Lepisosteus oculatus: one gene and its partner. The protein of the gene in region 1 purifies or fractionates together with the protein of each later gene. This does not show direct contact. Links are inferred from orthologs where the notes say so. Each region holds a gene or a part of one and is shown on either strand. Other genes may lie near its edges.

Evidence for each region. The genes of interacting proteins can lie anywhere in the genome.
Region 2: the proteins of nuclear cap-binding protein subunit 1 (region 1) and protein lin-28 homolog A purify together in Homo sapiens (affinity purification with mass spectrometry; 3 studies listed by BioGRID and IntAct, with this or other methods). This does not show direct contact. The link is inferred for Lepisosteus oculatus from reciprocal best matches to the Homo sapiens genes NCBP1 and LIN28A.

What each region holds. Positions count from the first base shown.
Region 1 is NC_090696.1:29,818,944-29,826,659, forward strand, and holds the start of nuclear cap-binding protein subunit 1, read left to right. Parts: upstream 1-4,606; 5' UTR 4,607-4,783; coding exon 4,784-4,817; intron 4,818-5,790; coding exon 5,791-5,879; intron 5,880-6,295; coding exon 6,296-6,396; intron 6,397-7,716. Other genes in the region: thiosulfate sulfurtransferase/rhodanese-like domain-containing protein 2, read right to left, coding at 7-122, 481-586, 1,352-1,474, 1,881-1,989, 2,195-2,502, 3,273-3,425. UniProt on the Homo sapiens protein: Component of the cap-binding complex (CBC), which binds cotranscriptionally to the 5'-cap of pre-mRNAs and is involved in various processes such as pre-mRNA splicing, translation regulation, nonsense-mediated mRNA decay, RNA-mediated gene silencing (RNAi) by microRNAs (miRNAs) and mRNA export.
Region 2 is NC_090706.1:5,681,571-5,688,973, reverse strand, and holds the start of protein lin-28 homolog A, read right to left. Parts: upstream 3,057-7,403; 5' UTR 2,571-3,056; coding exon 2,555-2,570; intron 2,350-2,554; coding exon 2,290-2,349; intron 1-2,289. UniProt on the Homo sapiens protein: RNA-binding protein that inhibits processing of pre-let-7 miRNAs and regulates translation of mRNAs that control developmental timing, pluripotency and metabolism.

The DNA of each region.
Region 1 (7,716 bases):
ACTCACTATTTTGCTCTCATAAAAGTTCCTGCAGTCCAACAAAATCGTGTCATTGCAAGATTCATATTTAGATAAAAAAGCTTCAACTTCCTTGTGAAACTCCTTTGGTTCTAAGTGGGTTCCTGCACAAAAATGAACACAGATTCAGAATAAAAAAAAAAATTTTACTCCCATTTTACATCCATAAATAGATACACTGCATTCACAAAGGATAAATAGATTTAGAAAAAAGGCTGTATGTTATATACATGTGTATATAATTGTATGTTGGTACAATTAACACAAAGCTTAAATAGCAATGAAACTTTTAAAGATGATCTTTGGCGTCTAGATCTAGAGATATTTGTTTAAACCAAATTTAAACCAAAATTCTAATGTATCTGCGAACAAGACTAGACAGCAAAAACATTTTTTTCTTTTTATATTTAAGGAGACAATAAATCTTGTCACCTTATAATAGCTGTATTTTAATATACTTACCGGCAAGCCTATAAGAGAGTATGTCTGGGTCCACCCCCATGGGGACTATTTCTTTAAACACTCCCACCTTCAGGTCCGGGAAGCAGTGAGCCCCACCCTCACTGGTCTGTCAAGGCACACAGTGTAACCTGGCACATGAGTGGTGAAATACTTGCTGACAAAAAACATCTAGGGCTCTTAACTTTGCAGGTAAAGAGGTCTTAAGGTCCATTGGTGCAAACAAGATGACACCCTTTGCCATAACAAATGGGTCTGATGGTGCAAATAAAGGCCCTTGTGCTTAAGAGGTCTCCAAATTCAATCATTTCAAAGCTTACCGCATAAGAATTAAGACAACCCAAATGCAAAAACCTTTGAAGAGCATATAACAGTTGAACATTTTTCATTTATGTACATTTCCGTTCTTGCTAAAATGCATGGTGAATATAAAAACATAGTTTTAAAAATAAATAATTGTTTCAGCTATTAAACCATGGGATGGATGAGAGCAGATGCTTACATCTCTGTAATAGCGATAAATAGTGAAAATGGATAATCAACATTTCGTGTAGTGTCAATTAAATTATATTTTACTCAATAATATTGATTTAAAATGTCATATATCCTGAGATGTTAAAAAAAACCTGCACAGAACACTGAGAAAACAGTGAATGCCTTTTTAGTCTAAATTAAACCCATTTGAGAGTGTGACTTGGCCTTACACCAGTTAAGTAATTCATCAATTAATTCACCACATGGAAACGTGTCCAGTTTCATATAAAAAGAACTGTGATTACAACCTTATCCCAGTTCTTTATCACCCTAAGATATGTTTTCACTCAATAAGCACATCATTAGAGGAGAAGTAGAAAACAAATTGATATCTTCTTACCTTGAAATCATCCAGGCACATGATTTTGAACACTGGGTGGGAAAGCATTGCCTTAATATATAATCCGGTAGCCACTTTGCTGCCTCCTACTGTTCCATTAATTCCTTCTGTGGCAACTCGAATCTACAGACAAATATAGACGTATGGACTTTGTATGAAAACAAACAGCAATGGCTTTGGGGTGTCAAAGGAGATGACTGAACGAGTGGGACCTGATCTAGTTATCTTGCAGTGAGGGCGCTCGGGATTTTTTCCTAATTACATCACAGAAGTGAATGAAATTTTTTGTGTCGCTTAACAGCCTTGAATGGTAGAAATAAAGGCACTTACAAGTTTAGAACTGGTAGGAAAAGGCACAGGACCAACATACACATACATATAGAGAACAACAAACACTACAGTACAGACTGAAGACAGTACTGAGTGAATTCAAGACCTGATCTCTTGGTATCTTCCTACCTTTGAACTATATCACCTTTGAACTGTGATATATTTTTATAGTGCTTACCCACCTGAACTATCTTCCTACCTTGCCTTTTAGGTGCAATTTTTGGCACAGTGCCTTCTGCCAAGCACAGATTAGGTGGGGTCCCTCCACTTCGCAATAGCAGTAATACAGCAGCACTTCACCTGGTCCCCTGGCCAGAAATAGGGGACAGAACCATGAAAATTCAATATATTCACAAACCAGAGTGACATTTTCACACTGTTTCATTATAACTGCAACAATCCAGACTCACCACCATGCAATAGTGTACGTCTTTCATGTTTTGTAAAACAAATTGGGCTTTTGAACTGTGATATATTTTTATAGTGCTTAAGAACAGAACCAAACATCTTTACCCATCAAGCTCTGCCTCGTTTAAGTAACTGATGTCCGGAAGCCAGAGCTGCATGTCCATTACTTCCACTGCCGCAGGTTGGGCTGACGTGTTGCACTCTTTCACATTGCCTCTGCTCCCCAGGAGCGTCAGTATGGCCTTTGTGTGTTCCTGAATCTCCAAATCATGTGCCCTGGCAACGTGCTTGTGGATGGAAGCAGGATCCTTGAAGGTTTGGTCGCAACACTGCCAGTGCTTGTCTGACTGAGCAGAACGCGAATCTGAACCAGATGCTGAAACTTTCTTCGAGTCCACAAAAGTGGCAAATGCCTTCAAAGAAAAATCACTCAAGTCACCCGTGTTGCATTTACTCGGATACGTCCTCACAGTGAGCATTCAAGCCTGCTCTTTACCACCATTTGCTTTGCTCAATGGAAAATATAATAATAATTACTACTTATGCGTGAGCTTAACAGTCTGTCAGTATGTTACTACATAACATGTTAAAACGTACAGTAAAACCACTTCAATTCAAATGAATTTTGTGTCCAAATCACTATATTCTCTCAACTTGCCATAAAAAACCTACGTCGCTGTGCATACAGTGAGCCAGTGTAGTCACAGAGGGGCGGTACATGAGGTCACTCGATCTCAGCAGCTCCAGAAAGGGCTTCAGTAAACTCTGTCATTATAGTTCTGTGACACTCCCTTGGTCATGGTAAAAAATGTTCTATCAATTCTTTGTGATTAAGTTTGCTAGTACAAGTGATCATGGAAATTACTGGATCCTTATTACCATTTTCTTAAATCAAGAAAACAAATTCTTCAATACTCAAGGGTTTAATATTCAAATATAAAATGATAATCTATTATGAAATGAATTTGTACAGCGACCTGTGTAGCTTTAAAGATGGAAGCTGCACATTGGTGGTGGTAGAGGAGAGTCCCCATTACCTGTAAAGAACTTGAGTGGAGTGTCCAGAAATGTTTTATATAAAATGTAAGAAATTATGAATTATTATGATAAAGATAAAAACAAAAAAGATCTCCCTTCCACACTAAGCAGTAAACCTGAAACCCACCATAAGTGAACATCTTACCCTTTTCTTTGCGTATGGAAACATTTTACGTAAGCTAGCTTCATTTGGGGCTTTTGAGATATTTGGAGTTTTGTTGGTAAAGTTCTCATCATCGAGCTCAGAAAACAACAGAGTGCCAGGTTCATCTTCAAGAATACCAGAGGCTGAAGACATTTTTGATGTTCAAATGGTCTCTTCAGCCTCCTGTAAGAGACAAGAGGAAGGTGAACAGAATTGCTGTTAGAACAGAAATAAAGATATTGCTTTGCCATGTAATAAGCCAAACCAGTCTATGTTAGAAAGGATTACATAAATCTGTGGATTTAATTAACATTCATTAAAAACAGATCACAATTTTAAAGAACTTAAGAAAACACAACCACAAAAAACACAACATCTAAAACATTATAAACAATAAAGCAATAACTTCGAATCTATAAAAAAGTAGTATTTTATTTAGCGCATAATTGTTGTTTCAGTTAATATAAACTGCGGGTAATTATCTGCACTGATTCTGGTTACAATATAATTCTTAATGCTAAGGGTTCCTTCTAAAAACAGCTTCTAAAAAGACATCCAAGATGACTTTCATGAAAGATAAAGGGCAATGGAACTGCAGCCTAAAAGTGAAACTGAATACCAAGAGAAAAGAATAAACAAATGTAAACCAGTAATTTATCCATTTATCCTGAAAGAACGGCACAAGGTAGGACTGAGAACACATCACAGGACCAGGTGTACAACACAGAAATTTCCAACAATTTACGTTTCCTCAACGTGTAAAAACGTTGCGTATAAATATAAATTATGAAACTTCGATTTTCAGTGTGCTTAACTTACTTTTCACGTTAACACATTGCAGAGCATCGTGTTTACTGAGGGGGTATCGTTTATTTTTATGTCTAACTTTGCACGTGTGAAGCACATATAATCAGAGACGGCAAAAAACCCAGAATCAGCTGTTTTATAATACCCTAATTATTCCGGGTCTTTTAGCCCAGAGTTCTCCATATAGTCTGTTCGTAGTACTTGATTCACATTAGATTAAGACAATATTTTTTCTGCCACCATACCACAAAACTACACATCTGTGTGTACACCATGCAACTACTCTCACTAATACAACTAAAATCTCGTAATCATCGTTTTACATCCTCTTTCACGTCTCGTCAGTTTTTAAAAAGGTAACCGAACAGAAAGAAATTGCAAAAGTTATAAAAACTCGTCACACCTTACAGCGTCAGCTCCTACGGAGGACAAATGGCATTACACGCCACTTTACTTGAACCAGGGAAGTGTTTCCTGTGACAGGCCGCCTGTCCTCCGGATGAGATTGTGTTCAACTTCAGCGCCATATTGCGGCGTTTGAGGCTGTGTGTGTGTGTAAGGAGCTGTTGTTTCTAGAGGCGTGTGGAGCGTTTTAACCTAGGCGGATTTCGCGCTGCAAGTACAAGATCAAGACGTTTGAATAAGGGGACCGACTGAACTCTGTTACATCTTTAGAGGATTTACCTTTATAATTAAATTAAAAAATGTCAAGGAGGCGGCACAGTGATGAGAATGATGGTAGGTGGTTTTTGTATTAGTTTTGCAATTGAGGCACTGTCCACTTTTGATACATGGCTGTCCACTATCGATCGATGTGCTGTGAAATTTTGTTGACGTCTCACCAAAGAAAGTGATGCAAAGCAGTTTTTAATTGAGAAAATCGTTATCGGTTATGATATGGCCGGTAATAAAATAAGCCTCGCTATTTTAGTAGGAAGTGAAAAAATAAGCAGAATGCCCATTTTTCCCATTTGGAGCGGTTAAATCGAACTTTGTAAAAGTTAATTGCTGTCTTTCTGATAATGTAATAATAAACTTATGAATTATTCATTTATAGTCGTGTGGAAATAGGTGCATAGAGATCAAAGCTACCGCTCATTCATTTAGGGTGCTTGAATACTTTCTATGGCAGATGTAATGTTTGATTCAAATGTTGCACTTCTGAGCGGGCTTTTTTCTTCCTGCAATACATTAGCTACTCCAAATAGCCCACAAATTACAGTTATCTGTATAGCATATGTATGAACATAAATACGGAAAACATTTGATAATGCAGAGTAGATTGAATGTTGCACATAGACTGTAGGCTACAGCTTTGTTTTCCTTGTGTGTCTAGTAACCAGGGACCGTAAGTAACTTTAAATTAACATGAGTTTTAAAATAATATATTTTTGAGAAGAATACATAAAGTTGTATGATGATTTAAACCACCTTTAATTGTTCTATTACATTTTCTTTTCCTTGTAATTTAAAAATAATTGCCTTGAGTAACATTTTGGCTCATTAAGTTTTTTCCCCCCCTTAGGTTAGCATTGCAATTAGAGCTTAAGTAATCTAACTGGGTCTTCTTGATATAATACAAAATTCTTCAGTTCAGATTTCTCTTGAGATTCTTTCTCCAAGGCAATCTATGTTCTCCTCGCTTTCTTTGAGCATATGCAACTTAGAATGTTGATAAGCATAATGTTTCATATAGTGCTCTTTCTAATAGGAGGGCAACCTCATAAACGGAGAAGAACATCAGAACCCATTGAAATCGAAGATCGTCTTGAGTCACTAATATGCAGAGTAGGCGAAAAGGTAATTTTTACACTTTTTTACAATTGAAATAACACTTTTAATTAATTAAGCTGGTAGTCGTACCATTTACTAATCACAAACTGGGCTTGTTTTTATCTGATAATTTACTTTCTTAAAACATGTTAACCTTTCTTTTCAAAATACTGCCTGCTCACAAGTTGAATGTCGTGGTATTTAAGAATATGGATTTACTGCATTTCCAAGCTTTTGTGAAGCGCTTCCTTACAGCATTGTGTGCATATTGCAGTGTTGTGTATATAACGTTTAGTGGAAACCTGAACTCGATGATCTAGTTAAAGTGTTCTCTGATATATTAGCACACCTAGCCTGTATGTTGCAAAGTGGCAGGTTTTTCAGCAAATCTAACATGGGATTGGATTTGTATCATAACTGTGCTTGAATGTGCCCATCCTTAGAGTACGTCTTCATTGGAAAGCAACTTAGAGGGCCTGGCAGGCGTCCTGGAGGCTGACCTTCCAAATTACAAGAGCAAAATTCTGCGTATCCTATGTGCTGTGTAAGTGTTGCCCTTTGTGTTTTAATTTAAACTTCCATACCTGTGTTTGTGTACTTAAAACATCTCACTGGACACTTTAGATATGCATATACAATATAACTTTGATATTCACAAGGTTTTGCAAAGTACTACATTCACAATTTGGCAGATAAACTAGTCACTAATAAATATCTGCATTTGTGTGGATGAACTTTATTACAGTAAAGTAGTGCTGTATTTATAATAGTAATAAAAACTGTAAAAAAAGGGAAGAAGATACGCTTTATTAAGAATGACAGAAACACTAATGCAGATTAGTTCAGGTGGGTAGCTGCGTCAGCATGTGTAGGCTGCAAAGGAACAAGTAATAGGTTTATTCCATGCTGAAAGAAGAAGAAAGAGAACACAACGTTTCGGCCGTGGAGCCTTCTTTGGGTGTGAGCCTTCTTCACACCTGAAGAAGGCTCCACGGCCAAAACGTTGTGTTTTCTTTCTTCTCTTTTCAGTGTGGAATAAACCTATTACTAATACAGAGTAAGCTGTAATGGTGATCTAATTTATTTGTTTACATTTGCAACAACTTGAAAACAATTTAGTTTACAGTTCATTTTCATTAAATACTTTTTACCGGTAGGTGCTGGCACTATTTCTGAAATTCTTAAGTTAAAAAAAAAACATTACTACAGAAATCCTCTTTTGACACGCTTCGCTGTCCTGTTTTCTCCATTAGGTGTTGCATTCCACATTCGCAAAATCATCATTCTTAGAGTCTTCAGTGTACCTAATGCTCATAAATACTGAGGTTTTGTTGTATGCTATACATATGTTAACAAAAATTTGTTAGATGGCTGAATTGCCTCCTTTCCTTCCTAATCTATCCTTATGTTCAAAGGATAATGGACTTGGATATCAAGGGGTAGATTTTCTTGACAGGCACGTATAACTTTATTGAGAAAGTTGATAGTTATTTTTATTCAGCTAGATTTCATAGCACTACATTTAGGTTTGATAAAGCAACCAGTGAAACGCTAACCCCAAAAACTCATAGGAAAAAATAATAAGTTTAGGGCATAAGATTAGATTGGCTAAATCCTGGAAATGTCTTTCTCAAAAACACTCAGAATCAAGTATGATCAATTTGCATTTTGTTGCAATTTGACAAGCTTTCATGTATGTCTCTGTGTAGGTGTTCTATGTTTAATGCTATGTATTGAGCCTGTTGTTTTATTATTAGGGCTCTGTAAAATACACTTATTAAAAAATATCGATAATATAGTAATAAAAACAAAAAATGGCAGAAACTCAAAACTGTCCATGGTAAAAAAAAGTGTTAATACAACG
Region 2 (7,403 bases), on another chromosome or scaffold:
TAAATATTCATGTACATATTTTACCGATATGACATAGGAGCTTTGAGAATCGAACATAGTGGGAAAAAATCGTCTGATTTCACGGGAAAAAGCGGATTAATAGTGGTTTTTATTTGACCAAATCTGATGTATCTGAATAAAAAAAAGGGGACCGTTCCGAACTTAACATTTTAAACAAAAGTACCCCATGTACTGAAGTATTATGGATTAGTATTAAGCCTTGCCACTAGGAAATCAATATATCCTTCCTTTGATTTTCTGTAACCATCAGGTTATTGCAAAACAGCCACCGCAGTGTGCTCCACCATTATATTAAATACGGAAGATTACCTCCATCGCGTCTGGCTGCTGCAGTGGTTGTTACGTTTATTTTTCATCGGCTACTTTAGAACATACATGTTCTAAATTAATTATCGGCTTTAATTATCATGCAACTAGCTATATCTCAAATCTGCAGCAATATACGCTGTAGCAGTTACCACTGCCATTTTAAAACCAGTCAATGGCGTAACATTACATTACAAAAAGGGGTACTCTTCACTCAAAACTGCTTTTTCTATTGGGACACAGTTCTCACGTTTTTAAATTTGACAACATTTTGAGTGAATATCCAATGATATGAAAGAACCACAAGTTAACTGATAAGTCATTAATGGACTACCGCATCGTATGAAAAATATTATATTTGTGGTTGACAAAAAATGAAATAGGATGCAACTTTGCTTTAAACTGGAAAATGAGGGACAATAAAAGCGTTAGTTAATATATCACAACCCAAGAAATTGAATTCATTGTTTTTAGCCCCACGTAAAATATGCGGTTTCAGAAGGAGCCGCCAATAAATCAAAACCTGGCACGAATAATAATTTGTTTGCCAAAATGTTCTTCTTCGTATCAATTGATTTTGACATGCGATCCTTTTTTAATTCGGGTCTAGATGGTAATTAAGGGGAAAAGGAAACACAAATCAATATCCAAACTAGTTTTATGTCCAAAACGAAATAAACTATTTGATGTTGTCGTTTACAGACAAATCTATCAAAAATACGAAATAATGATTGCACGATAAACAGCAGAAGAAATGTTCATGGTCAAATGTTTACAACAGTGCAGTGAAGAAATCAATACATTGATTTATTGAAAAATCCAAACATCCGAAAAAGAGCATTCAGGCACTTCACACACACATCAGTAACGAATGACAATCACCACGTAGCCCCAAAGTAAGATTTTTTTTACATTACTTTAAAATGATCGATACTATGGAAAATATAAAATATCCTTTGTATTATATTTTATAAATAAAATTATACCGAAACGCGCTGTAAAATCGAATCGTTAAAGAGTTAAATATTAGTAAAACGTCAGCTATTTTGAATACATTTTAGGTATTTCAAATTTAATGTATATGTGCAAAAACGTAAGTTAGACAAAACGAATCTAAAAATATAGAAATAGCCTATCAAGCAAAATCTAATTAATTCTGTCGTGTCTTGGGAAATTATTAGTTTAGCACATTTCGTTTTGTAAAAAATGTACGTATTTACTATAGCCATTGTAAGTACAATGTTAAGTAGGCGAAAGTAGAAGAGCAGACAGCCCTGTGAGCAAATTTCGTCTTCCTAAACCGCCTCATCTCAAGCCAACAGAATCATCACACATACGTCTCCAGCAATTTGAGCGGCACGGAATTACGTTTTCGATATTTACACATATTTCTAACTTTTCTTCAAACTCTCTTGAGTGCCATAATCCATATCTGTTGCGCGAAGGAAAACGAGCGGCGCTATCAATTGTTCTCCTCTTCGTGATTCAGCCTTGCAGACAATACTTTAATAGGAAGCTTTCTAAATGAAACACTTAAAATTACGCTTTCGTTCCCAGAAGGCCAAATCATCCTAATTTGTATGACTTCGAAAGCTGATCAAAACGTCTAACTCTTCACTCAGAATTGCTTTTGGTCTTTTGGTTTTCGCAATCGAATAAATATTTTACTTAGGGCTGTTTTGTGTAAAAAAAGTTAAATTGCCTAAGTACAGTATGCTATGCAAGGTGGATCAAAGTTGGGAAAGATGTTTTTTTTTTCATGACTGTTGAGAGGGCATGTGAATAATTCTCGTATCCCTAGAAACACACGTCCGCATGTTGGTGCTCCTAGCCGTGGCACGCGAAGGCATTTTGACTCCCAGCGCACGCGAGCGTGCTGTCGTGGTGACGCGCCGCTCGAGATCCTCGCTGATCGCGTGCGTGTTTCGCACGATAAAAGAAACGCGGCTTTAAGAAACTGACCTGAGCCGGTGTAGTAGCGCCACACCTGGGCAGGAGTCATTAAACCCCGAGAATGCGAACCTGTAACCAAAAAAAAAAAACGCCAACATAGATTAAACGATCCACCTTTGTGTGCCTGTGCGCTTCTTTTAGACAGCTAGCCGAGAGGAGTAATGAGAAAACCACTCTCTGTTGTCGTAGTTAGCATCCATCCTGTAGCTAACTTGGCAGTCCAGTTAAGCTAGATAGATGATTGATTAGACAGATATGCGATGCACGTACTCACCAAAGCACAGGCCCATAGCTGCAAGATAAAATATATCGGGAGACCTAGACCAGAGCCTCAAAATGAAGATTCTTAAGGGACTGGACCGCAAAGATCAGGTTATTCCACAGTGACAAACGCAATCTACAGTTTCAGATGTTTTCATTGCGGGGAAAACAGAAAATAGAATGTTTTTCAATATATGTAAAACCAATATAAAGGGAAACGCAATTGCTTGTCCAATATTACAGAGCTAATCCAGTAAGTAATTCGGTCGCTCCCCCCCAGTCCGAAGAACCGTCTTCTTCCCTCTCTTGATCTCGTGTCTCTCGCTGCCGTCTTTTATACCTGCAGAAGGCGAGCTAGACGACAGGCAGATTTAAATTTGATGTTACAATAATACACCGAGATATTCGTTAACCCCGTGCTGCCGCTGTACGCCTCCGCTTTTAATGACTAATTAATGTAAAACCTCAAAGTGTGAGTTTGCAGATGGCGTCTTCACCCCCCATTGTGCCAAAGGTAGAACCGCCAGCCCCTCAGACAATCAAGGACAATTAAGCCGCATCTGCTTTGGAGGAAAATTTAAGATGCTGGCGATGCGTCACCTCGGAGAGGGCTTGCGGTCGTCGGCTGAGCTGCAACTCACCTGTTGAGGCATAAGGAGACGATTGTTAGGGAAACCCGCAGGGCTGTGTTAGTCAGGCGTGAGTCACATTTTCACCAGGAAAGTTGTAAGCTTTCCGCAAATCCGAAACCACTGGTGAGCTAGCAGTGGCGTTTCTGTCAGCCCCGCTGTACCTGTGTCACAGCTGCTGGTCGTGAACCAAAGAGCCCGCGATGTCGCGGGGGATACATGCCCGATGGTAGCCGTCTGCCCAAATCTGTTTTTCTTATTAAAGAATATTACGCTGTTTCAAATATATTACTGTAGGGAAAACACTGGGCTTCCTCGCCCTGCAAAAAAGGTTCTTTCTTTTCAATCACCGACGCTGACCGAAAATTAGTTTTTTTTTTTCAAGTTGGAGGGGGGAAAGAAATGGAAGAGGCTTAATTATATTATATATAATAATATATATAATTATATATTTTTTGGCGTACATTGCATACAGGGATACTGTCTAGGCATCTTTATTAAGCATTCAATCAAGCTATTGCTTGTCACAAAGTCACAAAGACAATTCCGACAGACATCCAGAACCAGATGAGACAATCTGTTAACCTGCATTATTTTGTCAATGGACCAAGCGTTCACATTGTCGAAGGTTTTTTTTTTAAGTCATGTGTTAAAAGCATTTAAATCCACTAACAAAACTTAGATTGAAGTTTGATACTAAAATGTGCATTATGCTACCACTGAAATTCTTTCTACATTTGTTTGTTTTACTTATATTTTTAAAGGGTTAAAATATTTTAAATTTAATATAACATACAGATTCTTTCTGGCTTCTTTCTGCCTGTGGGAGATAAATAGGACTAATACACTTTTGTACAAATGGCAGGCTTAGAACAGTTTCCATGACAACTCATGGTCCTTCTTTGCCTATAGAAAGAGGAAGTGACCTTTGCCTGACCTTTGTCACATAGAGATGCTTGGAAACAATGCAGCGCGTGCTCAGAAAAGACCTACACTTTCAATGAACGAGGATTCAGATATTACAGCTCAGGAGAACGTCTCCCTAGGTGTCTAATCAGAGCTACCTCTAAAGGACTTTAACAGCCTGTTGAAAGAAACTGGGCACTCTTCAGTCACAGGTACTTTAACTGTAGATCCTTCCTTGTACTAACAGTCACAACCCACATGTATATTTTTTGCTGACCAAGCTTTCACTAAAAGCTAACAAAGGACAAATGGGAGTTTCTCTTTACTTAAACAATAAGAAAAATATAAGCCCATCGTTGGTGATCGGTAAAGAATTTCCTTGTACACAGGTCTGAATAAATGTTTCTCTGCTTTTAAAATGTTTGAGCAACATTTAATGATTGTGGTCATTCCGATTCACACAAATTGCCAGAAACAAAGGGAAATGTTTGACCCCCCTACAAAAGTATGAAAAGTAGCAATGTGTATGCCCATGCCCTCACACTGTGAATCTGATCTGACCAGGCTTACCTGTCATTATAGCATTACATTGTCATGACCATGTCTTACATGATGAAGTGGCCATCAGGTAATGTGTGGAAGCATGGCTTAGGTCCAGGTCACTGCAGATCGGAATAAAAAAGCCAGGAGGAAGTGCTAAAGAGTGCTGTTGTCTGCTTACATTGCACAATTTCACACAACATAACAGCTTTCCCTATGCAATCGATGTAAAGGGGCAGCCCTCCCTTTCCGGCAAGCACACTGGCCAGAACAGATAACAGCCCTGCGTCCACGAATAACAGCCTGTCAAATTCAAGCCCTCCCACCCCTGAACACCAGTAAATAATCAATACACTGATATGGGGCCCCGATCAATTCTCTCATTTAAAAGCGCTCTTCTTGTCTCACACTATTATGCGATGATCCCAGAATTCCCACACCTGCCTGAATCCGATCAGCTTCCGATCTTCTGGGGGCAAAGGGCAGGAAATCCAACAGAGCTAACGGGCCAGTTCGCGATCTCCTGCCCCAGCCGGAGGGGCAGAGGGTGATCCAGTCTCACAATAATGTTTAGGGGATGTAAGTAAATGTGCAATGATATGTTTGTATTGTCAATGACTGTAAACGATGGTATAATAGCTGCTTTCCTAACATTGTAATCAATCTGTTATGCCAATAAAGCTCTTTGAATCTGAAAATTCGAATACAAATCTGATTCTTCTTCCACAGACCCCTCCAGGCTTTAAAATCCTTGCTTTCTAGATCAGAAACGCCTACCATGCAGGATTTTTAAAATGTCACTGACTCACAGGAGTCAATAAGGGACAGAGGATAGTGGCTTGGATGGATTTATAGCAATCCAATCACAAACACCCCTAGATAGGCCAGAACAGCAATACGCCAGCAATTTTTGTCGCCATTTATTTTTCTTAAGGTTTTCCCAGTCCTTTCCGCGATCTGACAAAGAGCAGCATGCCTAACCTGATCTTAATCATTCCTGCCATTTCCAGGCAACGTCTCTCTGGATTGATTGGCTGTTGGATTGGTTGGCAGATCAATGCAAAAACAAATCCGGTCCCATTCATAATGCTGCTAAGTGACTAACCGTTTGGGGGAGAAGAGAAACGCGATCGATAACAGAGGTGTACGACCCTGGCCCTGCCAGCAATGAAACCTGAAAACAGCTGTAGCTGAAGTGCCACGCAATGTTTATTTTCTCTCGTACGAAAAGGAGCAAAAAAAAAAAAAGGCAGTCTCAGCAGGGAAGGCAGTTAATCTTTTGAGAACCTTACAATCCCCCCCCAGCTCGTGTTTCCGGCAGCTAGCAGGAAAAAAGACAATTGCTTACTTACTGGCAAAATCCCCCCTCACCACTCCTCGTGCGCAGTGCAAGAAGGGAACTGAATCAATGTGACAGGCGGCTTCAGAACATTGGACAGCACTGGGAAGCAGGGAAGCAGGGAGAGAAGAGCAGCCTGACCTTCCTGGCATGAGCCAGATCAGTGCGTGTCCAGGACCTGAGGGAGGCTGACTTTGCATGTCCCAGCCGTAGTTTTTCCCCCTCTCTTGAGATTTCTCCTTCTCTTGGGAGCATCCTGCGCTCGACGTGATCAACACAACCCATGCAGCCCCCGTACCGTTAAGAAGACCGCCATGCCCGATGAGGTTTGGATGGTTTTGGAGCTCTGAATACATATGGCCTCTGTCTGATAACAGGGCAGCGGACTGCTTGCTCTGCCTCATTTTCAACCAGCCCGACGTTGCCCATCCTCCCCACAGAACCAACATCGAATGTTTTCTCTCTGCAGCTGCACTTAAATCTCCGTCAACTTATAAAACAACACTCTCATGTTACAGAAGTACTGTATAAGGGCTATTTCAGTCTGTTCAGCAGTGAACAACTCTGCCTCCATTGGTCCCCAGGGACACGTAGATTTAAGTCTTTTCCTTTTCAGTACTTGATTGCATTCAGTAGGTGTTATGTGCTAATAATAAACCACCTTTAGGACGTTCTGCTATTAAGTTAAAATAAAAAATTAAATGAATCCCATTGCTGTGGAAAAAAAAACATTCCTCACATGGGATGAGCTAGTTGCCATTGGAAAATGCCAGATTTCAAGCACATAGAGGAAATAAAATTAAGGAGGTCAAATAAAACTACAACAAATTGCAACAACGTACAGTAGTTAAGATATATTGGTAGTTTCATGTTTTACAAACAGATGAATAATTATTATCTGATTAAAGAAAATCGTCTGCTGAATTAAAACTAAGGACCAAGTTTAACTTCCGCTCCATTCCAACAACATGTTCTGTTGAGTTACTGTTGAAGAGAAGCTAATGTATTCACATTGCAGTCACGAACTTCAAAGCGGCCTCTAAAAGAAAGCCCTAAACTAAAAAGGCTAGCCTAATTATTTAGCGGCGTTCACGTACAGTAACTGTACCACAGCACCCAAATTCAGGATATTTTTTGTTTTCGATCGGTCCGCGGCCGGAAACCGTCGGAAGGTCTAGCGCTCCCTCTCGTGGTTAGAAGGTAGATTATTTCTTGACGCCAAATACAGTCACTGTTCTCCGATTTTCCGAATATCTTCGATCTGTTGATGTTCTTAATGTCAGAAAGTGAAACTGAAATCAAATTTACTGGAGGAAATTTAGCTATCAGATCATACGAAACATCTTTGCTGAGGTTATTTTTCTCTCCTCCTCGACTGCTACACGAATCCCACGTAGACACAAACGGACAAACTCGTCGCAAATGGAGAGAAAAAGGTTCACTAAGAC